4 linked regions of the Lepisosteus oculatus genome follow. The protein of the gene in region 1 purifies or fractionates together with the protein of each later gene. This does not show direct contact. Links are inferred from orthologs where the notes say so. Each region holds a gene or a part of one and is shown in the gene's direction. Other genes may lie near its edges. The genes, in order: srpk2, srrm1, ddx46 and clasrp.

Region 1 (7,507 bases):
TGGTCATTAAAAATCCCAGGGAGTTTCTCAAAAAGAGTAGGAGTGTAACCCCGGTGTCCTGGCCAAATTTCCCCCTGGTCCTTACCAGTCAAGACCTCCTAATAATGCCCCTCTCTGAACTGGCTTCATCACTCTGCTCTCCTCCCCACTGAGAGCTGGTGTGTGGGGAGTGTACTGGAGCACTATGGCTGCCGTCACATCATCCAGGTGGGGCTGCACACTGGTGGTGGTGGAGGGGAGTCCCCATTACCTGTAAAGTGCTTTGAGTGGAGTGTCCAGAAAAGCGCGTTATAAATGTAAGCAATTATTATTATTATTATTAATGCAAGGTAGTGAGAAAGTCCCCGAGGTCAGGTAGCAAAGGATACCAGCAACAGACATACCAAGGAGTTGAGTAACCCTCTCTTTTCATTATTCATCATTATTCATGTATTTTACCATCTGACCTAAAGACCCATTTACACAGCAGATGTGAGCAAAGTACCTCATTCATGGGCAAGACAGGAGCACCCCACTTGGGATCTGAACCCGCAACCCCTCTGCCATTCCCTGGCATTTCGGTTCTTGCCCAGCCGCAGGTCTGGTCCGGCTGCTTCCTCTCTGAGCTGGGTGTCAGGGGAGAGTCTTCAGTCAGCCGACTACCAAGAAACTCCAAAAACAAAAACCAAGCACACTGGGCGCAGGGGCTGGGATCGCACGATGAGTGTGTCTGATCCAGCCGGACCGAGCTGATGCAATCGTGCGTATGACGTCCATGCTCATGCGCTCTGGCTGGGGGTTAGGCGGCGTGTGAAGTCTGGTGGTATTTGTCTCACGAAGCTCCCGAACATAAGAACGGTTACAAACGAGAGGTAGGTAATTGATCCGAGGATCTCATCCAGCTGTTTCCTGAAAGAAGCCAGGGTATCAGCTTCAAAAACATGGGTGGATATCCTGCTCCATACTCCCACAACCTTTTGTGTAAAGAAAGTTATAACTCTCAGTTCTCTGTGTTCAATGCACTTCCATCTGTATTTCCACTTGTTGTCACGCCCGACATCCCTCCCTAGAGGGCGCTCCACTCGTTATTGTTCCTGTAATTGTTGCTAACTCCCCAGGTGTATCTTGTTATGTGTATTACTTAAAGACCAGCTCCTCCAGTCCTCGGGGCTCAACATTAGGGTACGGATGTCACGAGGGCCCCCTGGCACCAGGATACCCTACATCCGTCTCCTGAGGGCACAGGCCTCATCCCCGACACCTCCCGCTTCCTGAGCCCGGGGTCTGGAGGATCCCGCCCCGTCACCCTTGGACCTCTGTGTCTTGTCTCTCCGTGTGTTCCCCCCTTCCAGGGATTTTAACCTTGTCGTGTCCCAGGATGGATTACTCGCCGCTGGACTCCCGGACTGTGCCCTGACCTGCCTTTGGACCTGTTTTGATTTGGATGCCGTTCTTTGTCTCCCCCGTTCACTGTCTCACGGACTGTCACTATTATTGTGCACTATTAAACCCCTGTGTGTTCCCTTTTACCACGCCTGCTGTTTTCTCCAGCTCTTACCGCATCGCATAGGGTCTACCACAAGACCCGGCACGGACTTCTGTCAAAGCCTTTAGAGGAAATTTAAATACTTCTAATTTCCCCGGACAGAGGCCATTTACGTGGTGGACAGAATGACCCTATGAGAGGACAGCACTGTGCAGAACTGCAACCAGATAACACTCCCAGGTCACAGTTTCATCCGACAATAACTAGGAGGCCTGGCACAGAGGGAATACTGGCTGGGCTGGGACAGAAAACTCATGCCACGTGGCTCAGCCAAACTACACAATCTGAGCTCATTTTCAGGAATTATTCTGAGCTACACAGCTTCATCTTATCAATGAGGGAAGGACCGAGTGAGTGCACGCCTTGTCTGAACTGTTATTACTAGCTCTGCTGAATTGCCTGATATGAAGTCATTTTTTTCCATGACAACATTATGATTATTTTTAATAGCCGAATTGCCGTGGGCAGCAATAATACAATAGAATGCAGTAAGACTGGAAAGCGGGCTATTGTAATAACCCTGCACTATGCTACAATAATATTTTTATTAATTCACTTGAGTAATGTGCTTATCCAAAGCAACTGATGTCTGGACCAATTTATACTGTAATATGCAGCATTTTTACCTACTGTTTTGCAGTTAGGTCTTCTTGCTTGGTCACTTTTTAAAATCACATGGTCAGAATGATCATTTCTTAACTAGTGGATACTCAAATCTACGTGCAGCCTAAACATGACACTGAAGCAGCTGTCTCTGTGCTCTCTAATTGCAGCTCTGACATAAAATACTGGATGACCCAAAGTTTTCTTCATTTAAACTGCAACAAGACTGAAGTGATTCTTATCAGCACCTCAACTACTGTATCCAGGGCCAATTCAGTAACCCTACATGTGGACGGCATTGTGCTTGAATCTCAGTAAAAAAAAAAAAGAATTTGGGGTTGTTGACCTTTGACATACATGCGCAAAATATTGTAAATATATCATTCTTCCATCTTAGAAATATTGCCAGAACACATTTTATTTTTTGTCTCTAAATTAACAGCAAAGCTGGTTAACACATTCATTTTTTGCAGAAATGATAACTGCAGCTCCCTACTCACTGAGGTGTCTAGATCCACACCAAACATACTTTGGTATGTCCAGAATTCAGCACCTGGAAGTTTGACCTGGTTGCGTGCAAGTGATCACATTACTCCTGTCCTGGAGGCCTTGCACTGGCTTCCTGGCAGGTTTCGTGTCGACTTCAAAATCCTCCTGCTCACCTAGAGGGCTCTGCATGACTTGGCACCTCAGTACCTGTCCGATTTATTATCTTCCTACTCCCCACCTCGAAATCTTCGTTCATCTGATTCTGGTCTCCCCTTTCTTCCCCAAGCGCGTTTACACTCCACAGTTGACAAGTCCTTCTGCTACGCCCCACAGCTTTGGAAATCTATCCCCAAGGATAGCAATGCTGAAGTCCAGACTCAAAACCTTCTTGTATTGAAAGGCTTGTATTGAATTGGTGTCTGTGTTTGCTAATGGCGTCTTCTACTGCATTTCTAATCCCTTGTGTTGCTTTGTGCTAATTTTGTTATCTCCTTTGTTGCTGTTTTCATTTGTGTTATCTGTTTTTTTACTGTTCCCCTAAAGTGCTTTGAAAAGATACGGTTAAAGGCACAATATAATAATAAGGATGATGATGATGATGATGATGATGATTATTCAGATGGGCATTACATTAAAGTAGCCTGAGGGATACAAAACAAAAAGAAACAAAACACCCCTTCTTCTCCTTTTAATAATAATAATAATAATAATAATAATAATAATAATAATAATAATAATAATAATAATAATAATAATAATAATAAATACAACTACATGTGTGCTGAGTTCTTCATCCCAAAGCAGAGACCCACTTCTTTCACCCCTGAAGTGCTGCCTCACCTGGGTGATGTGCAGCTCCCATTTTGTCCCAGCAGCCCCAGGTACACACAGGGCGGCAGGTAGAAACAGGTTCACCAACTGAAGGAAAGAGGCACTTGAAGGAGACAGGATCGTGCAGCCACAGAACCGAATTTGTCCACAGCTCTTACAATTGCCCTATAATGAGAGCTTAGTCAGGACCACAAGTTTAAAGGTTTAAAAGGTAGAACAAAATGATAAATATAAATCCTGAAACAATACAGATGCCCGATTTCAGAGACTCCCACACACTTTTAAAGGCCTTTATGTGGAGAGTGTATGCCTTTTGGCACTCTGTGTTAGCTTTCCGCGGAAGAAAAGTGAATGGGAAAGAAAGGAAACAATTGTATCTCCTTTTGATGGATTAGAACTGTTAATCTTCTTGGATGTCTTTTGTTTGGGAGCTCGAATCTCTTTAAAACCACAAGAACTAGTATTCCCTCAGTGCGTGGCTTCCTAGTTATTGTCGGATAAAAGACAGACGTTGAATCCTCACTGTATTGTGTTGTTACTCTGACCTTTATTAAGCTTAGTTCAGGTCGTGCAGTGTATACAATGATTCAGCACAACTACACCTCAAAATCTGTCCTCACCGCTGTACTCTCACGAACTATAGAAATTAAAAATCCAATACACCGCCCTCAACACAACGATGCAGTAAATTAGAGTAATACCGCGCAATATTTTAATCACAAACAGCACATTACACTTTATTCATTTATTTTCAATTGTTCCTGGACTTCCAGAGCTACATTAATTGAAATACAATCTCGGAGCACGGGACCTTTTGTAAATATTGGAGATCACATGGCAACACAAAACGGGAATACTGCTCTATTTTTTTTTTTCATATATTCACTTTGCGGTTAAATCCAAGACTGTGGTGTGAACCGCTGTTTTCGGACCGCGGAGACTAACCGTTCGGCGCGCGGGTCGCCGTTACCACGAGTAACTGACCTGCCTGCGTCATCGTTTTTGTTTTGCGGGCCACAACGATCACCTCACCCGTCACCTCGCGCCGGGGACGCGCGCCCAAAACAACCAACCGCTGCTCTCTCTCCCGCTGCACCTGCCTCGGCTCAGGTAAGCCTGCGCGCGCCCGCGACGCTGGGTCTTGACAGCGGAGCGCGCCCCCGAGTCCCCCCTGTCTGGCTGGGAGGAGGGTGCGCGCCTCCCGACGACGGCCGGGGGAGCGCGCATCCCCGAGAGAGGCGGTGAAGGGAAGAGAGAGACGGACGGAGAGAGAGATCCCGGCCGCCTTCGCCGAGGTGGAGAAGGATACCAACATGAGCTCTCGGAAGGGTAACCGGCTGTCTTTCTTACGCAAAGCCTCGGGCGTCCTGGGCCGGGCTGGGGGGGCAGGTTCGGGGGGCTCGGGTGTGTTTGTGCGCTCCACACGGCGGTGGTGGCGGCGGTGCGGAGGGCGGGCGATGCTTTTGAAACCGGCAAACTGATGTGTCGCTCTTGTCTGTCCGTCTCTCTCTCTCTCTCTCTCCCTCCCCTGCTTCTGCCTGGCTCCCGGGTCGCCCTCCCGCGATCCCCACCGCAGTGCTGGCCATCCAGGCCCGCAAGCGGCGGCCGAAGGGGAAGAAGGACAAGGCAGCCCATCAGCGGAGGTAGGCAGCGGTCCGGGGCTGCAGGGCGGCGGCGGAGGCGCCCCCTCTGACAGCGCTGACAGCGGGAGAGGGGGAGCTGACACTGGCACACTCGGCGCACAGACGCGATGGCGGAGCGGGGGGGGTGTCGTGGTGCCCTGGGTGCCGAGGGAGGGAGCGGGGTAGCGGCTCCGACTCCTCTTCCCGGGGCTGCCCGGCCGTGGTGTCGGAAGTTGCTATTGGCAACGATCCGCAGCCCCAAAGGGGGGGGGGGGAGGACGGTGGCTCTGGAGCCGGCGGGACAGGCTGTGCCGCGTCTACCGCTGGTGCCAGCCCGCCCAGACCACCTCCTCGCCCGGGCGCTGGGCTGCTGGAGCCGGACCGGGCTGTGATGTGAGGTGATGTGCAGTTCGAGCCCCCGAGCCGAGTTGCTGCCCTGCTGGTGGTTCGGAGAGGGGGGTGGGGTGTACAGGGCTCCGCTGCTGCAAGACGAGAATTGACTGACGTTGACATCTATCGTTGGTGCGAGAGGTGCGAGAGGTGCGAGAGAGAGTTTCACCCAAAACCGGCTGGGTGGGGGCGGAAAAAAAAACACTGAATACGCAAGCGACGGTAACGTAGCAGCTCTAGCGGTGTGCCGGTCCCGTGTTTCTGAATGCTTCCGCGTTCAAGAGCGCCTGGCCGCCGTGCCGAAGCGATGTGATGCTGGAGGCGAGAGGCGCTCTGCTCGCGCGCGCACAGCTCGAGGCTCCGCCACGCGCGGGACCGGGGCAGGGGAGCCCGGGTGACGTCATGGTCATGAGCTGGCGTCCCACCCCCACCCGGGGCTGACACGGCGCTGGCTGGGGCAGAACGGGCTTGTGAACGGGATCCCTGGGCACAGCGTCTGTCTGTGCAGAGGCTCCCAAATCCTGCTCGCTGGAACCTCGCTGTTCGGGCCTCTGCGCGACCCGGGGGCTGTCAGTTCGACTCCTGAAGTGAACTCCGACCTGAACTCTTCATCTGCCTGTTTGTTGGTTGTCTGCTTGCCTCCAGCTTTCCTGATTTCGCGCGGGATAACCCGAAAAACGTGTAGAAGCCATGAGAATTTCTTTGAATCCCGTCGAAGTGGATTCAGCGGGGTGGGAGGAAGAATTCGACAGGAACCCTAACCCCGCGGGCCCTGCAGAAATTCCCCCCTCGGGGAGCAGCGAGGGAGCAGGGCTGCTCTGTTGTCCCCTTTACTCCCCTTAAAGAACAGAAACAAAATTCCTCTCCTGTTATGAACTGTCATGAAAAACCGAGGTCCTGACTCTCTGTGGTCATTAAAAATCCCAGGGCGTTTCTCAAAAAGAGTAGGGGTGTAACCCCGGTGTCCTGGCCAATTTTCCCCCTGGCCCTAACCAGTCGTGGCCTCCTAATAATCCCCATCTGTGAACTGGCTTCACCACTCTGCTCTCCTCCCCACTGAGAGCTGGTGTGTGGGGAGCGTTCTGGCGCACTATGGCTGCCGTCACATCATCCAGGTGGGGCTGCACACTGGTGGAGGTGGAGGGGATCCCCATTACCTGTAAAGCGCTTTGAGTGGAGTGTCCAGAAGAGCGCTATATAAGTGTGAGGAATTATTCTTCTTATTATTCTCAGTCGGTACCCCCCCACACACACATGCTCACACTCTACACCCCTTCTGAAACCAACTCTTGCAAAGACGCGCTTTGTAGCTCCGGTCCAGTTGTCTTTCCTGCACGGGCCGGCGCGCCCACACCCCGCGCCAGCCAGCTCCTTCCCTCCTGCGCGCCACCCCCTGGGATGGGAGCGGGGCTCGGGGTGAGTGAGCCGCCTGTGACACTGCAGAGTGTGTGTGTGTGTGTGTGGGGGGCAGGTGTAGGTGACCAGGAGGCCAGGGCCTGGACGGGGGGGGAGAGGCCGTCTGCTGCTGTCATCGATGTCCTGGTGGTCCGAGCGCGCTTGCCTTTCTTTAAACTGCCCCTCGGTGAGTCTCCAAGAGTGGATACCTGCCAGGTGGCTTTTAAAACTTTCAACCGGAAAAAATGGGCAAAAAATAAAGCTTCAGGAGGACCCCAAAAAAAGGAACTGCTTGATTCTGAAGTGTCTGTGTAGCACGGGCACATAGCCGTGTCCCAGCTCACAGGAGTTGGCATTCGTTTAGCTTGTGCACGTAATAAGTGTTAATTAACCGCAAAGACGAGTTCACTCAGGTTTTCTCGCAAACCTATCTATGGGCAATTATTTTCTTGGAAGTGTGTTGTGGATGTGGGATGGCATCCCTTTCGGAATATAAAGTTCTGTCTATTCAGAACTTGTTTCCCAAGCGGCACGCCAGGGTGAATTAAATTATGCGGATTCACGATTCCCTGTTTTCTTGCGCAGAAGCTCGAACTAGTGTTCTACTCCCATGTGTTTTCCCCTTTGATCATATCGTTTCCTCTGCTCTTGC
Region 2 (6,842 bases), on another chromosome or scaffold:
ATGAAAATGGCATCACGGAAAACGAATTTAGACTCCCTAGGGTGGAGATGCACCAGAACGTCTTTGTCCTCTATGCCACAGACACCGAGCCTGTTCCGGTGTCTGTGCACAGCTCCTCTTCCTTGGAGAACACATAACATCTCAGCAGCAAAGCTGGTGGAGCCGTGGAACAAGTCTGAAGTCTACTGGAACTGTGCAGTTTACTACGTTCTTAGGATACACACTCATAACTGAGCCAGTACTGAGCTGCTCGGTCCTCGGTCCTGTCCTTGAGAGCACTGCATTGGAAAACTCCCATGCTGTTTGGAAGGACGCAAACCAGACACTTAATAGAAGGCAAACAGGAGTTGAAATCTTTAAACCTGTGAGCAACAGGGCTAAAGTGCTATGATACTCTAGTGTTCACCAGCAGTGTTTCCATGGCTGTGTATCCAAGTGTTGTGCATACTAGTAGTCAATGAGTGTCGGACTCAGAAAGTGGCACCACAGAACTTTTCTAGGTTTTGTGAACTTTATTGTTCTCCTTTCTCTGATCTGTAAAAGCCCTCATTGTTAAAACGGATGTATGTAGACAGTGTGTGCAGTGTCTCGATTGGACCGCAATGCTACTGAGCTAAACAGTTTCCTTTTTGAAACCCAGAAGGCTTCAGCCCTAAGTTAGACCGTGGGTCTCCATCCCTGGTGCAGGGTTTTCTGGGTAACGACTGCAGTATGTCACAAACTTTGAAGAACCTAGAATAAATTAACTGTGATCTATTAAGCAAGACACGTGTTAAAAGTATTAACAAGTTAGCAAAGATTGTTTGGGTCAAAAACCTCCATTCAGCGCTGTTTGGAATCTGGTGTTTTTTTGCCACTCTTAGGTTAAGAAAGAGACCCTAAAATAAGTTTAGGATTCTGTTGTATCTCTTAGGCTTTGAAAAAAGGTTGGACACACAGGAGTGATTTGTTTCAGAATTATCTGCCTTAACGGAACAAATTACTTGCTTATTTCATCTATAACTTATAATTACCATATTAACATTCCAACAGTCCATCAGAAAACTGCTTATTCTTGTTCAGGGTCACAGCAAACTGGAGTCAATTCTGGAGTCACAGGGCCCAGGGTGGGACAACACCATGAACAGGCCTTCCCAATCCTTAGAAACAGGCGATTTAGGATTAGGGTTAGGTTAATAACCTGTAATTTACACTGTATTGGGGCACTCTGGAGGAAGGTTTAAGTCCTTTCATTCAGATGATGTTTAATCTGAGCCTTTTCAACAAAATCAAGGATTTTATCTCCTTTTTCTCCCCCCCCTGGCTGAAGCATTCTTTCCTGGTTGATGTTTTGTTCATTTTTTGTAATTGAAATGACCTTGATTTCCATGTAATAAAGCAAATCATGTCCTCTCTACTGTTTCTCAGGCCTGCGTTAGGCAGGTGACAATAGCCTGTAATAAAGTGCTTTAGAGGAAGTTCTGCATCTATATAGACCTTTATGTAGGATTTACGTTTTCAGTTTTTGTAATGAAATGGGAAACGTTTCAACCTGCTTTCCTGGTGAAAGTCTGGTGATCCTGATATTGTAAAAAATGACTTTACTTGCAATGCTTGCCGGTGTTTTGAAGAGGAAGGAAACTCATAGGTACAGTATAAGTAAACCTAAAATGAAAGCACATGGCTATAACTGTAAAAAGAACCTTTATACATCAATACAAGATGTTGCTTGTGATCAACTTGAGCCTGGAGATTTTTCTGACATGGTTATGTATCCAGAACTGCTCTCTGGCATCAAGAAATGTCACTAGACTGAATTATTCAATATTTACTGTATATGTATATATAATTGAAATCAATGTCTATGCAATGATAGTGTTACATGTTCCTATAACAGGCTGGATTTGATGTCGAGCAATTATGCTTGCTTTCTGCTGGTGTTGGAATAATAAGCCACAGTAAGAAGTTTTGTGTCCTAATTTTTAAGAAGAATAAATAAATGGAGCTTTTATTTAAAGTATGGCGTCCTCTCAGAAAACATATTGCTTTTATAATAAAGAAATTGCGTTATATTGTCATAAAAATTACACTTTACATATGTAACTGTCGTCCTAGAAGGCTTGATATCCCCACTTCCTTTGAAGAGAAACCTTGTCTTGCTTTGCATCAGCTTCCAATGCTATATTCCCGACTATATCGGTATTTCCCTTTTTTGTTTTACTGACATTTGAGAGATTTATCATTTGAACTATTAATCCAGACATCATAGCCCATGTATGATTTAGGGTAGATGCTTGACCTTATGTAAATGAAACTCCCAAAATGGCAGCACATGAGTGAGCCCTGCCCAGCTGGGTGGAGCTTGAGTGGCCAGCAGTTTCCCTGGTTGGTGCACAGGAGTAGCCCATGTGACTTACAGGTTGGCCAATGAGCTTTTTAGAGCTGTGACACTCCCCTCAAAGCTGGGTCTGAATGAGAAGTGGACAGCTCAGGATCAGTGCATGTTTCAGGGAGACAGAGATGGCCTCCTCTCCTCCATGCTAGTACAAAGGGTGGCGGAAATGAGCCATATTGACTAACCATCAGAGATTCCCAACAGGTTGGGGTGGAATATTTCAAATCTAACAAAAAATAATTCTAGTTATTGGCTAGATTTATAAGAGCTGAGGACTTCCAGTTAATCCTTTATTATTGGGGAAAACTACAATTGTTCAATGTCCAGGTAGGATCTCTGTACTCCACGGACTACAAAAAACATGGCTTTCCAAAATGAATTCCAAAATTCTTAACTCCTTTCCCCCCACATTTGTCTTTTTCTAGAAACAAAACATCCTGTCATTTAAAATCATGTGCTGTGTCTGGGTGATGTTAGACAAGTTATACCTGCTATAAAGTATGTGACAAAGCTCTGGATGATTATGTAAATACGGAAACCAATGTAGCATTAAAAGATTATTTTCTGTGGGAAGATTGAAGTCTGATTTAAACTCATGGAGGATCTGAGCAGTGAGGACACCTGGGTAAACATCAGGGGTTTCTGACAGCATCTGCTGCACTGGAACTGTATGACTGTGGAACCCAGAGTGTAGGCACAGACATACACAGAGGGAATCACGATTCATACGTCATCCCTCATCATTGGCATCGTCTTGTGAACCTGTTAATAAAAGATCTACCAATTTGCCATTAGTTCTGGAGCTCTGCTGCTACACCGTGACTCACACTGCTGCTCCGAGCTGTGAGGCTCATGGTCTTCAGGGAGTCCTCATCCCACTACAACACGATTTGATTGTTTTGTATATCATGATGCTGGAAAGTAATGCATCATCTTCAGCACATTGACAAGTTTGTAACACACTCAAAGCAGAGTGATTTTGTGTATGGAGCGCAAATAACCTTCACAGACCTGCCTGTTCATACCTGCATTGCTATCAGTCTGTTGAGGGTGAACTCATGGGAATATCGACATTTAGTTTTGTAAAAAAAAAATCACGTTTTGGAACATTTTAGTGATATTTGCAGTGAACCTTCCATCTGTCAAATAATAACTGTAACGGTGGTGTTATGGAGTCGTTTAGGCGTTCAACTTTAAAACAGCTGATGGCCACGTTTCAGAGCAATTGGCGCTCCTTGATAGGTTTGCCCGGGAGTTTTGGACTCTTGAGAGTTTTGTTTGGATTTGCAAACGACGGTGTTAAATGTGTTGAGGCGCCTTGAACCTGCTGTTTAAAAGTTCCGCGGAGAGCCGAGCTCCAGTGCCTGAGGTGTAAACGCATCAATAAAGTTACGCCGCCTGGTGGTTATTTATGGTCCTACACGAAGGGGGGGGGCTTCTTCCTGCATTGCATTGTGGGAGTCGTGGGCATTTTTCTTTCAGAGACACATTGCACATTTCGGCAGAAGATGGACGCGGGTTTTTTCCGCGTAAGTACATGTCTTCTTTTTGGCTAAAAAAAAAATGGAATTTCGAGTTTATTGTTCTCCTTATTGCAGCCTAGGCGTCCCCTCGGCTCGGTTTCCGGAGCCAAAAGCGTGGCTTATCCAGGAGCATTTTTTTTTTCCTTGTGTACTTCATGCGCCATCCCGGAGCAACGACATGCAATGGGAGAATAAAAATGGCGGCTGTATGTGAATTCAACCGGGGATCAAAATCATTCGTTGAAAATGAATTGGAATCTGTATTGTCTCGTGTTGTGTTGGGGGTGCAATTAATAAACGCGCACATCGTTTTTGAGGATGTTCTTTCTGTACTTGTTAATCTTTAAAAAAAAAAAACCTTCAGAGCCCGTGTAAGGCCTGTGTCGACAAGCAGTCAGCCAGGGTGCAGGGCTCGTTTGAATAGACTATGCCCAGATCCTTCAAACGTTGTGTTCGTGTGGCTGCGGAGAAATGTTGAGTTCAGGAGTTGTTGTTTTTTTCTTAATCTTGTGTGCTGGAAAAAAAAAACCCTCAGCGGCCTATAACGGAGAAGACAAAACGCGATCGGGTATTTAAGCGTCTTGACCTGTGCGGCAACGTCTACCGCGTCTTCTGGAGAAAAGACAACTTTCTCTGGCTTCGCCTCGCCGTGCCTGTTCGCTCCTTGGGGACTGAGGTGTTGGGAAGTGACGAGGGAAAGTCACCTTTGAAGTACACGCTCACATGTGGAGGAATATTGCTTGAGAGTCGTGTGATAACCTCGGGTTTTTTTTTAAAAAGCTGCTCTTAACCAAATCTGTCACGCCTCACGATGTGTGCGAAATGCTGACAGACCCAGTGAGTTTGGGGAGCTCAAACTTTTAAAAAAAAATGTAACTGGGCTCGTCCTTCACTAGTCATTGTCTTATACTGTTACCAGCAGCCTGAAGAGCTTTTCAACTTGATGGCCTTATTCAGAGATCCCTCCCGGAGTTTAGCAGATATTCTGGTTTAGTAAATGATATGGCTGCTACGAAGACTTGTAGGTTTCATTGTAACCTTTTGTTGTTAATAATAACAACAACAATTTCTTGCTTTAGGAATTTGTATTTTCACCTACCCCAGCTTGCTCTCCATGAGACACAGACAGGGAGAGAAGCTGGGGGTCATAGTGCAGGGTCAGCCGTTGTACAGCACCCCTGGAGCAGTTGGGGCCTTGCTCAGGGGCCCAGCGGAGTAGGATTTCTCTGCCGGCTGCGGGATTTGAACCGGCAACCTTCCAGCCACAGGCGCAGATCTTATCCTTAGATGAAATTGTTCATGTGAGCCTGTCCTGAAACCTAAAACCAGAGTCTTTCTGTATTTTCTTACCAGGGCACGAGTGCGGAGCAAGACAATCGCTTCAGCAACAAGCAGAAGAAACTTTTGAAACAGCTCAAATTTGCAGAATGTCTCGAGAAGAAGGTATGTGAGCATCTTCTAATTAATTGTTGTTTCAAAATATTCTTAGAGACCCAAAGGATCGTCCTTGGTCACCTGGGGTGTCTACTTGCGATAGGCTTGCAGTTATATATTGTTTTGCGGTTCTGATCAGAAAACAAGATTCAGTTTAGGCTGTGGACACAAGGTGTCCTCCAGTGTTTTTGAGTTTATTTTTGATTTTGTGGTAGGGTGACTGTTTTGTAGATGTGTGGCTAAATGTCAGCTTTCTTTTCAGGTGGATATGACCAAGGTGAACTTGGAAGTCATCAAACCATGGATAACTCAAAGAGTGACAGAGATTTTAGGGTTCGAGGACGATGTCGTCATCGAGTTCATTTTCAACCAGCTGGAGGAAAAGGTAACGCCGTCGAAACAGTTTCTTCTTCCTCAGATTCTTGTTTTGTAAAGCAGTGAACTAGTTCTTATTTTTTTGTGCAAGAGGCGGGTGGGTGGGTGTGAGAACTAGAGAAGAGTATTTTTTCTAGTTGAGAATTCACTTTTTATAATATAAATTTACTGCTCTAGGAGGTTTTGTTCTGACTGCTGAGGTGAAAGGAAATGAAGCTATATGTATTTGAAAGAAATGTTGCTGTTATATGTAACAAAGTGCCTTTGACAGCAGTTTTCTAATGATGATGTGATTTATGATTTAAAAGGCCTGAACCAATATGGATGTTATTCCTTGCGTCTGAAGTATAGCACCATCACCTAATTAGGTCACAGCAGAGTGAGTGTCCAATGTCGCTCTGACCCAACTCCCTTGATGATGCAGTGTGTGTTTGGAGGTGAGTTGTGTAAAGTGACCAAAAATTCCAGTGACGAGCACTTGGACAGATCCTTACACTGCTAAACCACCTACATTTACCTGTGGCTAGATATTTATAGATGGTAGCAGTATACCTTTTTAAAACCTGTATGCAGTATGCCTGAATTGTTTCCGGTTTGCTGTGTTCCAGTTATGATGGCTGATGGCGAAGACAGCCATCCTTTTTTTCCTCCTTCACTGTCGGGCATGGTGCATGGTGTAAAAAGAAATACTGCTATATTTATTGGTGAAAGGAAAAATACTACATTGAAAGTGGCCTGACTGCACTTTTGATGTCAGATTATTTAGACCTGCTGACAAGGTCTTTTAAAAAAAAAAAAAGTAGCAGTGATATTTATGATTCTTCACGTGTATGCAGACAAACTGATAATGTAGACATTGGTGTTCATTTGCCTAAAGTTGATCTAGCTCCTAGACCCTCTATATCTTGAGTTAATATGCCTTTTGTTTGACCTTTTGACTTTTTGTGTGAAAATAGGCACTGCTTTTTTGGTCCATATTGAGGTATGCTTAAGACTTGTTGATTTGCTTGCCAGGCAGAATAGCTTTTTTAAAAAAAAAAGTCAATGCAAACAGTATGTAAAGCCGATTGTTGACATTGGTTCAAAGTGTATTTTTTAAATCAGACGTAGGGTATTTGCCTTTTGTGAATGCTCAA
Region 3 (7,809 bases), on another chromosome or scaffold:
TCTACAATTTATCATCCCATTCTGAAAGAATCCAATTTGTGGTTTGATAATTTTATTCCTTATCTTCTACAAGATGACAGACATACGTTGGAGCCCAGAGTTCCCTTGGATCATGGCAGAGCAGAGCCGCGGTCTCTGTCCGCCCAATCCAAGAGACTTCCAGTCTTCCAGAGTGAGATGGGGGTGAGCAATCACCACGGCGACGTGCCTGAGCGTCAGGGGTCTCCCCTGCGGGAGTGCAGGGACCCCGCGGGCCGCAGCGGCGAGGGCGAAAGCGCTGGGGAGGTGCGGCAGAGATCCCGGGCAGACGTCCCCTCCGACGGCATCCCCCGCTCCCCCCGCCGCGGGCTGCAGCAGTACCTGTCGCGCTTCGATGAGGCCATGAAGCTCCGCAGCCAGCTGATCAGCGAGAAGCCGGCTCAGGAAAACGGCTCGGGCCCAGAGGAGCTAGATGCCTTCCGAGTCTTCCGCCTCATCGGGAGCGTGATGTTAGCCATCACTGTCAGGGTCTTTGTCTGCAAGTATTTGGTATGTCTGTGTCGCAGATCTTTGATTTGTTTGATTTAATCACTTTCCCTCTCCAGCTGGTAAAGATCTGGTTGCAGGAAAGCTAACAAGCTTCACTTTGGTTTGGGGCTTGATCTGTTTTTCGGCTTAACACCCTGCGGCTCACCACTGGCAACCCACTGAAGCTCAGCAGGTGTGAGCCTGGTCAGTACCTGGATGGGAGACCTGCTGGGAAAGCTAAGGTTGCTGCTGGAAGAGGTGTTCATGGGACCAGTAGGGGACGCTCACCCTGCGGTCTGTGTGGGTCCTAATGCCCCAATATAGTGACGGGGACACTATACTGTAAAAAAAGGCACTGTCTTTTGGATGAGACATAAAACCAAGGTCCTGTCTCTTTAGGGTCATTAAAAATCCCAGGGTTTTTCTCAGAAAACAGTAGTTGTGGCCTCACCACTAATAGCTGGTGTGTGGTGAGTGTACTGGTGCACTATACCTGCTGTCGCATCATCCAAGTGGTGCTGCACATTGGTGGTGGTGGAGGGGAGTCCTCATTACCTGAAAAAAGGTTTGAGTGTCCAGAAAAGCACTATATAAGTGCAAGTATTATTTATTATGTATTTAGATATTAAGAACTGTAATGTTGCCCTGATGAAGACAAAATGCCCTAACTTAATTTTATCTTCACCCTTGAGGCATTAAAAATGTCAGAGCTTGAGTGTTGACTTATTCAGGACCGAACACCAGTATAGCATGGTGGAATTCATGTCTGCTTCTCAACAAAAAATAATGTAGTTAAGCTTAATATCACACCACTGGGAGTTCCTATTTAGAGCACAGCTCTTCTGCTATCTGACTAACTCATGACTGCCCACCTTCTTCAGACAGGGCTTTGAAGTTCTGGAAATCAGCTGCAGTAGTGAGCTGTGGGTTGACTGGTTTTATGACATTATGTTGTAACAAAGGTTTCTTGTTCTCTTATTTGCAGTCAATATTTGCCCCATTTCTTACCCTCCAGCTGGCATATATGGGCTTGTACAAGTATTTTCCAAAGGTGAGTGTGTCGGTTTTGAAGAGAGGTTGTTTGTAGGTAAGATATTAGGCTCTGTATTAATTTGCTTTTGAAAACAGAATACTATATCCCTTTTTGCAAGAAAAGTGTATTGCGTTTATAATTCAGGGAAAATGTATTGTTTTATGAATTATATTCCTGCATTGTGCTTTTCAGCACACAGATCTAAAATGATGAAAGAACAGTCCTTTTTGTAGTGTTTTTCCCATTGAAACTATTTTTAACAGGCTTGAAAAGCAAAGTATATTTGATCAGCAGTAGTTTTTGTAAAAGCACACAAAACATTTAATTGGAACAAATATTTCATGATTTAATTTAAAACGTGGGCTACTAGGCAGGACAGAAATGAGAGGAAACCATATAGAAGAGCTGCTTAATAAGATATCCATATTGAACAACATCCATCCATTCATTTTCTAATGGCTTCTTCCAGTTCAGGGTTGTGGGGGAGGCAGAGCCCAGTCCCAGAAGACAGGGTGCATCCTGGATGGGACGCCAGTCCATTGCACTGACACACAGACACATGTATGCAAACACTCACACCAGATCCAAATTTTCCAAAATCCAGTTAACCTACCAGTATGTCTTCAGACTGTGGGAGGAAACCAGAGCATCCGGAGGAAACCCACACAAATATGGGGGAGATCATACAAAATTCACACAGATAGCACCCCAGGTCCAGAATTAAACCCAGGGCCCCAGTGAAACAAAGCAGCAGTGCTGACCCTGCCCCTTCTTCAACAACTTGAGTTTTAGAAATCAGCTGTTTTTCTTGGGGTGACTTTGAGGATTCTTGGTTGCAGAAAGGTGAATAGATTCTCTGTCCTCTTTACTTTCAGAGTGAGAAGAAGATGAAGACTACAGTGTTGACTGCTGCTCTGCTGCTATCAGGGATCCCCGCAGAGGTCATCAACCGTTCCATGGACACTTATAGCAAAATGGGGGACGTCTTCACAGATCTGTGTGTCTATTTCTTCACGTTCATTGTGTGTCACGAGATCCTCATCCTTCTGGGTTCTGAAATTCCCTGATGTTTGGTTTACCCCTCCCCCCCTCCGCTCTTCCATGCTTTGGAAGAAATAAAATCGAAACCCCTCCTCCCTGTTCCCCTTACATTCCCAACGCTTCCCGCCTCTTGTCCGGCCCTTGACTATCAGGGAAAGATGGACATATGGACACTGCCGGTCCTTGAAAGATCTGGTCCTGAGCGCTAACCTGGTCACGGTTAGCAAAATGTCTTCTGCACTACCATACCATTGCAGGAAATAACAGAATTTCTGCTTGTCTTACTAGTAGCTGAAGACAGCACCGCAGTCCATATGTACTGATGGTTAGGTTTTACTTGCGCTCTGGTCAGAAGCAAGGGGTCCAGTTTCTTATAGTTGAAGGATTTTTTTTTTTATTATTCTGCATTGTGTATTTTTGGATTTAGCTGACTTTTGATTTTGCTGCTAGTAACCTTTTTTTTAATTTATGGAATTTATATATCCACTTAAGCTAAAAACTTTATACTCCTTCTTCTCAAGAACATGTTGGTGGAAAGTAATGCAGTAGCACAAAATGCTGTGAAGTGCACTGCAGAAACAAAGTCAAGGGTTAACAATTCTGTACCCAAATATGAAAACAGGGTATGAGCTGTGTGCTGTATTTGAATTTTTGGTGTTGGTTGTTCACTGTTACCGGATTTTAAATGTTTGTTTTTTTGTCCCTTTAAATTTGTCATTAGCCATTTCTTGGTTAAAAACATGGAACCTCTGCTTATTGTGAAACAAGGCTGTTTTAACCTTAACTTCCCAGCCACTGAGTGCTTTGCCTCATTAATCATTAAAATTGAGTTCACAGGTGATACTGATCATCAAACCTAGATCTCATTTAATTTGAATAGTTTTGTGTTTATTTTCACCACTGATTAAGTGGGACATCCCCACGCCAGCAATTTAAGTGGCTTACAATAATCACAACTGTGATATTTCAATTAACTGTGGTTAATGATAAATAAGCATCTTTTACTTGGAGGTCAATGAGTACTTTTGGTTAAATTGGCATCAAGTGAAAAGTTCATTTTATTTTAAAGAGGGAAACATCATCGTAAACACCGAAAACACATGCATTTTAACACATGCAGTATGCATCGGTGGTTTTGTACTCTGAATGTGGTAAAGTTTGGGCAAGCAAGAGTATATATGGGCTAAATTCCATGTTTGCCTGTGCCACCTGTGTGAACTGTGACCTACTCCCATGTCTTAGTGGCATGCTTAGGTTAAATTAACAATAAATTATTTCGTCCGTCATTTAAATGTTGTAACCACACATACTTGTTTTTTTATTGTATCACCTCCCTGTCTTGACAAAACAAGGTAAAAAATGTTGACTGCCATTTTGTTATTAAAATTTAAAGAGCAATTCTTTTTAGGTCTTTAATTTTAAACTATGATGTACCAGGTTATACATCATCCAGATTATCAACCCATAACAGTGTAATTGATGTATTGGTCATAATTTAAATTGTACATCTGGGTGAGATGCATTTACTGCTGAAATGTGGAAAAACTACTGAAAACTGAACAAATTAATAAAATATCAAAGACGGAACTAAAGCTTTTTTTCTTGAAGTGCTAAAAGGAGAATTTTTACAAATATATTGTTTGGAGGGACAGCTTGAATCATTGGGTGAGCACATTTCTTTACACGGCTTTCCGTTTTCCCAAAGAAAAAGCTGTTCATTTTAATTTGGGAAATACTTTTTCGATTTTAAGTCACGTATTGTAGTTTTCTTTTCACTGGAACTTGATTTCCTTAAGTATCTCATGTGGACAATAAAGGGGACATGAATGGTTTGAATATAGATGATCTGGGTGTGAATATTTAGTGAATTGCGATGGCATATTTCATTTGATACGTTATTTCTTTTATAATAAAGGTGAGTGCAGATCTTGATTCTTGTGAGACAGCAATTCAACGCTATGCATTCCCAGCTCTCAGCACACATACCCTTAACACAATCTTGTTGACGTTTAGCGTTTTTACTGTTCCTAAGGTCAGGACATATCACGGTGTGCAGCTTTATACAATATACAGTACAGTTAAAGCAGGCAAATGTTCAACAGTAGAAACTGGATTTTGATCGTCTTCTTTCGGAGGTATCAATATGAATTTGGTTCTTCCAGCCGCTGGGGGGTGCTGTTTGGATGGAGGAAGAGAGAACATTACGGAAGTACGATCTTGAATGTTGGCCATTTATTGGTTCGCAGAGAAGTTTGGGATTTACCACGAAAGCGCTGAAGAAGAGTGAGTTCAAAATTGAACAATACCTACTGATTTCCTTAGAAAAACAACGAGAAGATGGGTAGAGAGTCGAGGTATGTGTGCATTGTTCGTCTTTATTATTACCATCTGAATATTTTTACATCGAAAAGTTTAGTCACTGCAGATTCGTACGCCTTTTTATAAAGATCGCCTTAGGCCGCACATGGGAAGAAAATATGTAGCGCTTCAAAATTAAACCTGCTTTCCCTCCATCAAAGTGTTCGCGGCGTTATTAAATCAAATTATTTTATATATTCTAAAACGTTATATTGTAGATATCTGAGGTAACGTTTCAGGCTGCTAGAGAATGTGGTAGCTGAGAATTTGCTAATCGGATTAGAGTTGTGCTAATGAATACGTACAATATTTATGAGGTTATTGCTTGAACTTCAAACCGAACGATACAATTAGAGTGAAAGCCCCAGCACAACATTCTAAAATCAAAATCACGGTTCTCCTTTATATTGTATTGTTTTCGTAGTCCAAAGGTAGATGAGCTTTGTTGTCATGTTATCTTTGTAAGTAGACATTCAGCTAGATCTGAATTTAACCGCTGAGCATTTAATTTAATTGCTTGCATTTATTTAGCTCTTTTCTGGACACTCCACTCAAAGCGCTTTACAGGGAATGAGAATTTATATTAAATCAACCCAAAGACAGAAAAATAAATGGTGTTGGAATTTTACTTCATTGTGCATACGTGCACGTATCTGTGGAAACTTGAAGTTATTGTAGTGGAAGGAATACGAGATAAATGGTGACTTGCCACTTTCTTCAGCTAGACACTGTGAATGCATTAAAAATTACGTTTTGGCTATTAAGATTGTACAATTATTTTTATTAGAAACCGTAACATTTGTTATCTTTTTAATGCCTCTGGGTATACAGTGCATTAGTTAGATTTCTTTTGGTTTCAGCTTTGGTCACCAAACTACAACAGATATTGTCACTCTTGGTGGGAGCAATCACACTTATTCCTGTTCTTAAGGAGTTGTACCTGAAAGGGTCAAGATATTTTATTTTATTAGCTTTGATCAGCGTAGAGTATGCGGGGTACTTGATTTAGGTGTTCAAAATCATGAAAAGGTGTTGATTATATCAAATTCATTCATGATCCTGGAACAATGTAAGAAATTAAGTTCTTTTTTTAAAATTGAAAATTCATATGATATTTCCTTATTGCTTGCTATGCTGCAATGATTTATGCCTCCTCTTGGCCAGGCCATCATTGAGATTGAGAAATTCTCAGCTGGGTGTTTGGTTATATAAAGGTTTAATAATAATACTGTCTGGCTTGATGGTGCAGTGGTCAGCATTACTGCCTCATAGTGCTGTGACCCTGGGTTCAATTCTGGACTTGGGCTGCTATCTGTGTGGAGTTTAAGTGTTCTACCTGTATTTGTGTGGGTTTCCTCCAATAGTCCACAAACATAACTGGTAGATAGGGGCTTCTGGGAAATTCAACCCTGGTCTGAGTGTGTGCCTTGTGATGGACTGGCGTCCAATTCAGGGTGTATCCTGCCTTGTGCCCGTTGCTTGCTGGGATACCCTTTGGCTCCCCTGCAACCCTGATTTGGAAGAAGTGCTTAGGAAAGAGAATGATGGATTTTATATATATATATTATATTATATATGTATTAATATAAAGATATAATACTTCAGGTGGGGAGCTGCGTCAGCATGCGTAGGCTGCAAAGGAACAAGTAATAGATTTATTCCATGCTGAAAAAAAGAAGAAAGAGAACACAATGGTTCAGCCATGGAGCCTTCTTCACCTGAAGAAGGCTCCACGGCCAAACCATTGTGTTCTTTCTTCTTTTTTTCAGCATGGAATAAAACTATTACTTGTTCCTTAGATATAATACTGCCACCTGGAGATAGTTATGAGGGGAACCGAGGGGGATGTGATGAAGCGGGTCAGTCAATGCGTGTGAAACGTCTTTCCCAGGCACTACCGCAAGCACTCGGCTTCGAGGGGGCGGTCCGGCAGCCGCTCCAGGAGCCGGTCTCCGGAGAAGAGGTCGAAGCGAGAGGAAAGGGCTCGCTCCCGCAGCCGGGACCGGGAACGCAGGCGAGAGCGCTCCCGCAGCCGTGATCGGCGCCGCTCCCGATCCCGGGACAGGAAGCGTCCGAGGTGGGTGACTGCACTGGGACAAGCAGGGCCTTCAAGCCACGGTCTCCCTGTCTGAAATGCCAAAACATTTCCGAGCTCTCAAAGGCTTAGGTTTATTATTCTCTGTAGTCGGTGACACAATATTCTTAAGACTCTTATGATACTGTTAAATTATGATTCTTTCAGTCCTTCTTTCACCTTTCTTTTGAATTTGGAGTGCGAGTTAGTAAGCTGTAAGAAGCTTGTCCTAAAATGATGTTAGTGAATGACAAGACAGTTCCAGTCTGTAGAGAGAAAAGTATCGTTTTGGGCGGCTCTGACGTGTCCCCCCCTCTTTCGGGGGGCAGCGAGGCTCTCTGACAGTCGCGCTCTCCTTCTCTGTGTGTTGCAGGCGCTCCAGGAGTCGGGAAAGGCGGCGATCCCGCAGCCGAGACAGGAGGAGGTCTTGTAGCAGGACACGGGGCCGGAGGTCACGTTCCTCAAGCCCCAGCAAGAGCAGGAAGACTGACGAAGGGTAGGACTCGAGGATCAGATTGTTCTTTTTCAAACCAGCGCCTATTATGAAAAATGGCATAGGTCTTTTTAAATAAAGTTTCATTCAAAAACCATAAATATCGGAAAGAATGCAGTAAAGGTACTGCACACTAAGCACACGTTAAGAAAATAGGACGTCTTCCAGTTATTTCTAGCTTCAGTACCAAGCCCAGCATTGAAAGACTGTCTGTTTTTCTTGCAGGTCAAAGAGTAAGGAGAAGTCTGATAGCACAGAGCCGTCTGTGGAGAAAAAGAAAATAAAAGAAGAAAAAGAGGAAGA
Region 4 (7,517 bases), on another chromosome or scaffold:
TGTTGATTGTGTGTGCATCGGCCTGCGTGTGTTAGCTGTGTGTGTATCGCCTGTGTGTGTTGATTGTGCGTATCGGCCTGTGTGTGTTGATTGTGTGTGCATCGGCCTGCGTGTGTTAGCTGTGTGTGTATCGCCTGTGTGTGTTAATAGTGTGTGTGTATCACCTGTGTGCGTTAATTGTGTGTATATTGGCCTGTGGGTGTTGGTTGTGTGTATCGGCCTGTGTGGGTGTCACCTCTGTCTCTGTGTGGGAGTCTGGCTGTGGGCACCGGGGGTTGTGTGTGCCTGTGCCTGACGGTGCTCTCTGCGCCTCTGCCGTGCCAGGCTCCGGGAGCACTCTGTACGTGGTGATGGTCGTCCTGCTGGCCATGTTGGTAGTGGGAACGACGCTGTGCATCTACCTGCTGGCTCAGCTCCGGAGGCGCAGGAAGGAGCGCCAGCACGCCGGGCAGGACGAGGGCATCAATAACCAGCGGGAGTGCGTCACCCTCATCCGGAACCTGGGCGGCCCTCCCCCAGTGCCCCGCTGTCGTGAGGAGATTGAGCTGAGCCTGCCGCCCACCCCAGAAACCAAGAAGCCCAGGAGGAGCAGCGCCAAGCTCGACATCTCCAACCGGGAGCGCGAGAAACTCAACCGCTTCCACTTCTCCGACAGCCAGGAGGTGGAAGTGTGAGGCCCGCCCCGCCTGTCGGCTTCTGTCCGTCTGCCACTGCGGCCACCCGTGCTCCCAGGCTTTGCAGGCCTTGCTAGGCCCCCGAGGGAAGGGAGTGAAGGGTTTGGCTGCTGAGGAGGCTGGAGATCGTGAGCCTTGATTGCCCAAGAGGGGGCGAACTGCTGCACAGCTCTGTTGACTCCCACACCTCAACCCTTGTGGCATTTTCCCCCTGAGTTGGAACTCTTGACATAAGCCTGAGAGCCTGAGAGCCTGAGAGAAGAAGGCCTCTCTTTGGCGTGTCTGGGTATCGGTGCACCTGCTCTGCCCTGTTGCCACTATGAAGGTTCCTTCCTTTTGATGGAGGCAGTGATGTGAGGGTCAGCATTGAACTTCTCATTCCAGCTGTTAAACTAATCGCATTTCCTTTATTGGAAGAATAAAGTATTGTGTTGTTTTTTTTTTGTTTGTTTCTCATGTCAATGAAGGCAATATTGTGTATATGTGTGTGTTTTGACAGGTCCTTTAACGATAGAGCTGCACCTGGTGTTCGTATAAAAGCTTCTGAGCAGCTGTTGCGTGGGTAGAGAAATCTATACAGTACATCCAGCAATGTTATCAGTAAATCTGATTCATACTCTGCTTGTTAAATGTCTTGTTCAATGTGTTTTGCCTTCTGGAGAGAATGTGCAAAGCTAGAGAAAGTCCTGTGGGGACATAGTTCAGTGCTGCGCAGACCTGAGTCAGAAGTGTCTTGACATTGCAGTGCAACTCCTATATGTGTCCCTCCTATACCCTTTACACAGCTAAAGAGCACTCTCTACTTCACATGTGTGTAATCCGTTTGAATTTTAATTTACAAATAAGTCAAAAGCGTGAGAACGAAATATTTCGGCCACTTTTGTTAGATATGGTTTTGCAATAGACATCCACCAGATCAAACTACAGCCTAGGCCAAACACGACTCCACTGTGCCAGACCAGTTGCCCTCCACCAATCCTGCTGAGCACAGGTGGGCTCTCCATAACCCCTTCCCTGCTCTGTATCTCTGTACACCCACTTTCACCAGACCCCTGGAGGTTCTGAACCAGAACTGGGCTATGGTCCCACTGAACAGGGCCTGTGACCCCGCCTGAGAGAAGAGGAAGTGACGGGGGGTGCAGTGGGGACCCCAACATTAACAAAGTGCAGCTTCCAGATTGCGTTACTGATCGGGGGTCTTAAGAGCTCATTGCATCGGGGCATGAGTTACATTTCTGTAGTGTCGGAAAGACAGGCTGGAGGACAGACCTCTTGACCACAGCTGGACAGTACACACTGGCCAGTTTGACTGACCCCTTCCCTGAGAGGCTGTGGGGTGGAGAACGGGGAGGTGATTTAGTCCTGTCTGATGGAGGTTTTCTGCGATTGTTCCTCAGCTCTGTTTCTCAAGGAGCCACAGTCCCTGAGGGGTTAAGAATATGAGGTTGGTCACAAACAGGAGGAGCCACTCAGCTCATCCAGCCTGTTTGGAAGTTAGTAGCTAACCTGAGGATCTTATCCAGCAGTTCCTTGAAGGAAGCCAGGGTAGCGTCTATGTCAGTGGCTGGAAGCTTGTTCCACACTCCCACAATTCGTAAAGAAGCGCCTGCTGTTTTCGGTTTCAAATCCAGGTCCACATAGGCTCCACTTGTGTCTTCTGGTCTGTGTTTCAGTGGTTTGCTATTTCTCTTTAGGCCTGGGGATAAGCGCTCAGTTAAGTGAAAAATTAGTGGTTCAATTAACTAATTATCTGCTCAGATGGAATGACAACCTGAGGACCCCATTGCCCTTGGGAAAATGCCCTTAGGAGCTGAAGACAATGGCAAAAAGCAACCTAGAAAGGTTACTAATAAGGGAAAATAATCTAGCTCATCCAGCTCGTTTGGTAGTTAGTAGATGACAAAAGGATATTGTCCCCTTTGAGGCGGCACGTTCATGCTTGTAAAAGATGTATGATTTTTGTACTTGTCTGTAAATAGTTCAGCTGTATATAGTGTACATATTTATATTTTGTCTTTTATTGACCATTTTTGTACCGTGAAATCTTTGAGAGTTTTTGGTTCATCTCTGCCCTTTTTCCTTGTGTCTCTCGTGATGGCCAACCGGTGCGAACAGTAATTAAAACTTGTTTAACACCAAGAGTGCAGCCTGTGTCTGTGTGTGCTGGGACCCCGACAGGCCACCCCAGGGGGGCATCTCCCCAACCCCATGCTGACAGAGCGAGAGAGACTCCAGGCTGCTGCTGTGAACTACGGGGAACCACAGTGGAGAGCCCTGGACCCTGGCCAGGGTTAACTACAAGGAAGATGGAAAAAGCAGGTGGCGGGGCACCAGCCACAGACAAGCTTTTCCTAAGCAGCACCAGTTCAATCTGCTTCTGGGCCTTACTAATTGAAGTGCTTGTACTGACTCACTTAAATCCTTGTTTATGCTTTGTCTTCTGCCAAGCATCCCTTGTACTGCCAGAAGGAAATAAAAAGCACTTGTTTTTTTGGCGGTTACACCTACAAAGGCCTGTATCACTACATATATTATTTTTGGAGAACTCTTTCTTCACTAAAACAACTTAACCATGGGGGGACAGGTCTTACTGCTGTTTCCTGTGGTTCGTCCTGCTAAAAACTGTTCAGTAAAGCTCAGTGAAGCACGAGGGGGTGTACTAAGGCGCAATGTTTCCAAAGAATTTGCTCCCTAAGACCTCTACAGATGAGTCATTAAGTCATGGTATAGTTTGTAAGGGAGTTTCTACAATGACCCCTGCCCTTGCTGGCAGTGCCTGGGGTCCAGGTGACGTGGGCAGCGAGGGGTTTCCCTGCCGACCAGGAAAGGTGATGAGCGAACTTCCTCTCTCCGCCCGTCCTGAGGGAGGTGCAGGAAGCGTCTGCCTGCAGATGCCTGCCAGGAGTCCGAGTCACGTCCTCGCAGGCCCTCAGATGAACCTGCTCTGGACAGGGGCTCCAGAAACACCTGCTGCTCTCGCTGCAGAGAGCGAGGGGCCAGACCAGGCGGCAGCTGATTCACCCTGCAGCTCACAGCCAGCAGCCCACTGGAGCTCAGCAGGTGTGAGCCTGGTCAGTACCTGGAGGGGACTGACTCCCGAGGAAAGCTAAGGCTGCTGCTGCAAGAAGTGTTAGTAGGGCCAGCAGGGGGCGCTCATCCTGCAGTCTGTGTGGGTCCTAATGCCCCAGTATAGCAACGGGGACACTAGACTGTAAAAAGGCGCCATGAGATGTAAAAGCATGGTCCTAACTTCCTGTGGTCATTAAAAATCCCAGGGCGTTTCTCGAAAAGAGTAGGGGTGTTATCCTGGCATCTTGGCCAAATTTCCCCCTGGCATTTACCAGTCATGGCCTCCTAATAATCCCCATCTCTGAACTGGCATCATCACTCTGCTCTCCTCCCCACTGAGAGCTGGTGTGTGGGGAGCGGACTGGTGCATCATCCAAGTGGGGCTGCACACTGATAAAGAGGAGTCCCCATTACCTGTAAAGTGCTTTGACTGGAGGCTATAGAAGTGTAAAGAATTTGTTATTATTAAATCCACGCAGAGCAGGCGGGGGGGTACAGCAGTGCCTGAAGTGTGCTGGTACTCTCTCCTCACTTGCTTCAAATTCCAGACCAGCACCCCTGTATTGCAAATGGGGGTGCTGTGCCACAGGAGGGGCCGCACTTCACATGGGCTGTTGACCCAAGGCCCTGCCCACACTGGGGACATTTGAAGGTCCTACGGCTGGGATTGCTCAAGAGTGAGCGTGAATTTCAGAACAGCCCTGATTCCGGTGTGCTGCCTGGAATGTGACCAGTTGGACTCTGCAGAAGGCGAACCGTCTGATACGCTGTCGTTCCAACCTTCGTACAGGCCGGTATCCTGAAGCTGCTGGGAAAAGTACACTTGAAGTTTGGTGTATTTGGCCCTCAGGACTGACCGAAGAAGTAAGTTAAAAATCTAAACAACGAAGCAGATCGGTTAAGTCATCGGTTAGAGCTGGTGCTCAGGTGGGACGGGCACCAGCTGACGCTGCGCTCCTGCAAAGCCAGGGGTGTTAAAACTTCCCCACAGACCGAGGGCTGGAACCGTAGCTTAGAACACGCCCGTCAATTCTGCCACAGCGAAAGAGAAAATACCGCTAAGAAAATAAAGAGACACAAAAACAGAAGGCGTAGCCCAGGAGACTGTCGTGTCTTGTCCCGTGAGTAGTTCAAGTAGGGAGCTGCGTCAGCATGTGTTGGCTGCAAGGGAACAAGTAAAGGTTTATTCCATGCTGGAAAGGGAAGAAAAGAAACAACGTTTAGAGAAAGTCCATCCTCTTTCTCACACCTCCACGGCCGAAACGTTGTGTTTCTTGTCTCCTCTTTTCAGCATGGAATAAACTTCGTGTCCCATAATCCGACTTTGTCGTGTTGTTCCGGAGTTCAGTACTGTTTCCTGCTGCAAACACGCAGTGCTGGAGAATACAGAACTACATCTAACTGAAGCTTCGGGTTAAATAGTATTAAAGAAGACAAAAGGGGAAAGAGAAATAATATATCATAACGGATTGTTTACACAGATTCTTCCAATACATTTTCGTTCGAGAGCCTGCACCGCCGCCTGCTGGAGCTCGGGTTGTACGAGCTCGCTTCCGCGTCCAGCTTCGCAACGAAACAGCCTGACACGTGGCTGCGGGTGTGCGTGATTCCGTGATTTACTATCCGTGTGGCCACAGGTATGTGATGCATAACGTCATGTTCTCCTTAGAGTGCACAATAATATCCGAAATGGACCAGTTTGGTGTCATTTGGAGGCAGGGTAAAATATTAACGAGCTCCGCAGTTCTGTTCAAATACACCAAAAATATTAAAACCACAACTCCCGTTCACCCTTTCCTCCACTTCCGCTCTCATTGCTCTTTGACCTCGGAAGTGGTTGCCGGGATACCGGAGGACTGTGTGTTGTGATGGCCTCCCGATCGGAGTTCGGGTGCAGTTACGGCTGTTCGACGTGTTTATATATTTAATTGCACTCTGTAAATCTTACACCAAAGAATATCCGGTGGTAAAAATCGAAAGACCCGAAATATCTTACAGACAAGCATAACCAAAATCCTTTCAAGGAACATAGACGTTGGAGGAAGAAGACTACATTTCGTACGTGTGCAGGCGCCATTGGGATCCGGGGTCGCAGCTGTTATTTATTCCACAAAAACAGATAAACAGTTGGGGAATTGTAATATTTATCGCCGCATTCCTTAAATTACTTCTGTTCGAAGTGAGTAAATGTTATTAGGGCAAGAATTCGAAGCAGGCGTTTCTAATCATGCCATTTTTAAGCAAAAGCAGTAGATGAGATTGCATATCAGGGAGGGACAGGAGCGATTAGGAGAGTCCCTTGCGCGGGGGCTGTGTTGGATGTGTCGCTGCTTCGTTCGTGTGTTTTGCCAGGGATTAGACGGGAACCCCCATGAGAAGGGAGAGAGGCGAGCAGTATGAGGAGTGTCGCGGACACATTCCTCCGGGTGCGGCCGCCATTGTAGGCAGCTGTATTCCCCAGGGGAAACCGCTCAGCCCCCGAGAAGCCGTGAGCAAGGCTGAGCGGGCGGCTGGAGAGCGGTGAAGAGCAAGCAGCCCTTAAAAAGTGATAGCGGTCACATGGGCAGCCACCAGCTCCGCCCTGCTACAACCTTTTAAGGAACCGGTAAACTCTTATTGCCGGAAGCCTACATTTGTGAGAACAGGAGGTTGATTTCAGGACCTGGACAAGGCCCTGTGGCTCCTGGGCCGAGGGCAGATGAATACCCCCTGCTCCCGGCCAGCTGTCTTGCAGTGGCCCCAGGGGCAGAGCCCAGAACACCTTGGCCCTCAGCAGACTGTGCCTCCTTTTCACCCCCAGCATCCTTTCTCCCTGTGCAGGTGTGTTGTGGGATTCCTGCTGCCCTCGGACTGCCTCTCCGGCTCCTCCCGTCTCCACGGCAGCAGGGCTTGGCCGCCCCGGCGCCAGGATGTGGCACGAAGCCCGCAAGCATGAGCGCAAGCTGCGCGGCATGATGGTGGATTACAAGCGGCGGGCGGAGCGGCGGCGCGAGTACTACGAGAAAATCGTGAGCGAGCCGTCGGCGTGCCCGAGGAGCGGGGCCTTGGCCCGCGGCCCCCAGGAGCCGCCCTGTGGGCGGCCAGCTGCCCCTGCCCGGTCGCGGCTGGCGCTCGCCCTGCCCCTGCCCGAGGCGCTGGTGTTTTCCACCTGGTCTTCTCAGGGGCTTTCATTCAGAAAACAACCAGACAAATGTTTGATTAAGCAACATGTTGGGTAGTTTATGCAGAACAGGGATAGATTGATGATAAATGATTAATTAACCACATGGGAGTGATGTAATCTGACTCGTCTGAAGGCACTGGCGGGGGTGCAGTAATGCCCGGCAGGTAGTACTGTTGTACACTTAGCTTGGTGGTGGTGGAGGGGATCCCCATTACCTGTAAAGCGCTTTGAGTGGAGTGTCCAGAAAAAGCGCTATATAAGTGTGAGCAATTATTATTATTATTATTATTATTATTATTATTATTATTAACGGGAACATTACTGTGTAAAAAAAAAATGGATTTCAGGAACATTCAAAAGCAGGAACTTTTTTTCCCTTAAGCCCCTAGTTTCCACTTGTCCCTTGGGGAGTTGTTTGGCAGTGTTATACTCTACTGTGAGAGTTACCGGAGTCTTGTGATTTCAGAAAAAGGACCCGGCCCAGTTCCTGCAGGTCCATGGGAGAGCGTACAAGATCCACTTGGACTCTGCTGTGGCTCTGGCTGCCGAGAGTCCAGTGAACATGTGAGTACTTCTCTGCTCCTGTTTGCCTTAGGCCACAATAGTTCCCT

What was found.
Region 2: the proteins of srpk2 (region 1) and srrm1 purify together in Homo sapiens (affinity purification with mass spectrometry; 3 studies listed by BioGRID and IntAct, with this or other methods). This does not show direct contact. The link is inferred for Lepisosteus oculatus from reciprocal best matches to the Homo sapiens genes SRPK2 and SRRM1.
Region 3: the proteins of srpk2 (region 1) and ddx46 purify together in Homo sapiens (affinity purification with mass spectrometry; 4 studies listed by BioGRID and IntAct, with this or other methods). This does not show direct contact. The link is inferred for Lepisosteus oculatus from reciprocal best matches to the Homo sapiens genes SRPK2 and DDX46.
Region 4: the proteins of srpk2 (region 1) and clasrp purify together in Homo sapiens (affinity purification with mass spectrometry; 3 studies listed by BioGRID and IntAct, with this or other methods). This does not show direct contact. The link is inferred for Lepisosteus oculatus from reciprocal best matches to the Homo sapiens genes SRPK2 and CLASRP.

The regions. Positions count from the first base shown.
Region 1 is NC_090702.1:48,123,525-48,131,031, forward strand, and holds the start of srpk2 (SRSF protein kinase 2), read left to right. Parts: upstream 1-4,503; 5' UTR 4,504-4,761; coding exon 4,762-4,777; intron 4,778-5,024; coding exon 5,025-5,091; intron 5,092-7,507. UniProt on the Homo sapiens protein: Serine/arginine-rich protein-specific kinase which specifically phosphorylates its substrates at serine residues located in regions rich in arginine/serine dipeptides, known as RS domains and is involved in the phosphorylation of SR splicing factors and the regulation of splicing.
Region 2 is NC_090706.1:4,187,424-4,194,265, reverse strand, and holds the start of srrm1 (serine/arginine repetitive matrix protein 1), read left to right. Parts: upstream 1-3,834; 5' UTR 3,835-3,882; coding exon 3,883-3,903; intron 3,904-5,250; coding exon 5,251-5,340; intron 5,341-5,593; coding exon 5,594-5,716; intron 5,717-6,015; exon of another isoform or gene 6,016-6,143; intron 6,144-6,842. Other genes in the region: ncmap (noncompact myelin-associated protein), read left to right, coding at 1-137. UniProt on the Homo sapiens protein: Part of pre- and post-splicing multiprotein mRNP complexes. As a component of the minor spliceosome, involved in the splicing of U12-type introns in pre-mRNAs. Involved in numerous pre-mRNA processing events.
Region 3 is NC_090706.1:23,721,493-23,729,301, reverse strand, and holds the start of ddx46 (probable ATP-dependent RNA helicase DDX46), read left to right. Parts: upstream 1-4,797; 5' UTR 4,798-4,918; coding exon 4,919-4,935; intron 4,936-6,830; coding exon 6,831-7,016; intron 7,017-7,386; coding exon 7,387-7,509; intron 7,510-7,731; coding exon 7,732-7,809. Other genes in the region: guided entry of tail-anchored proteins factor CAMLG, read left to right, coding at 74-528, 1,493-1,558, 2,416-2,607. UniProt on the Homo sapiens protein: Component of the 17S U2 SnRNP complex of the spliceosome, a large ribonucleoprotein complex that removes introns from transcribed pre-mRNAs.
Region 4 is NC_090698.1:2,616,284-2,623,800, forward strand, and holds the start of clasrp (CLK4-associating serine/arginine rich protein), read left to right. Parts: upstream 1-4,508; 5' UTR 4,509-4,607; intron 4,608-5,224; 5' UTR 5,225-5,340; exon of another isoform or gene 5,341-5,380; intron 5,381-5,589; exon of another isoform or gene 5,590-5,801; intron 5,802-5,817; exon of another isoform or gene 5,818-5,922; intron 5,923-6,563; 5' UTR 6,564-6,652; coding exon 6,653-6,751; intron 6,752-7,372; coding exon 7,373-7,470; intron 7,471-7,517. Other genes in the region: protein jagged-1b, read left to right, coding at 325-674. UniProt on the Homo sapiens protein: Probably functions as an alternative splicing regulator. May regulate the mRNA splicing of genes such as CLK1. May act by regulating members of the CLK kinase family.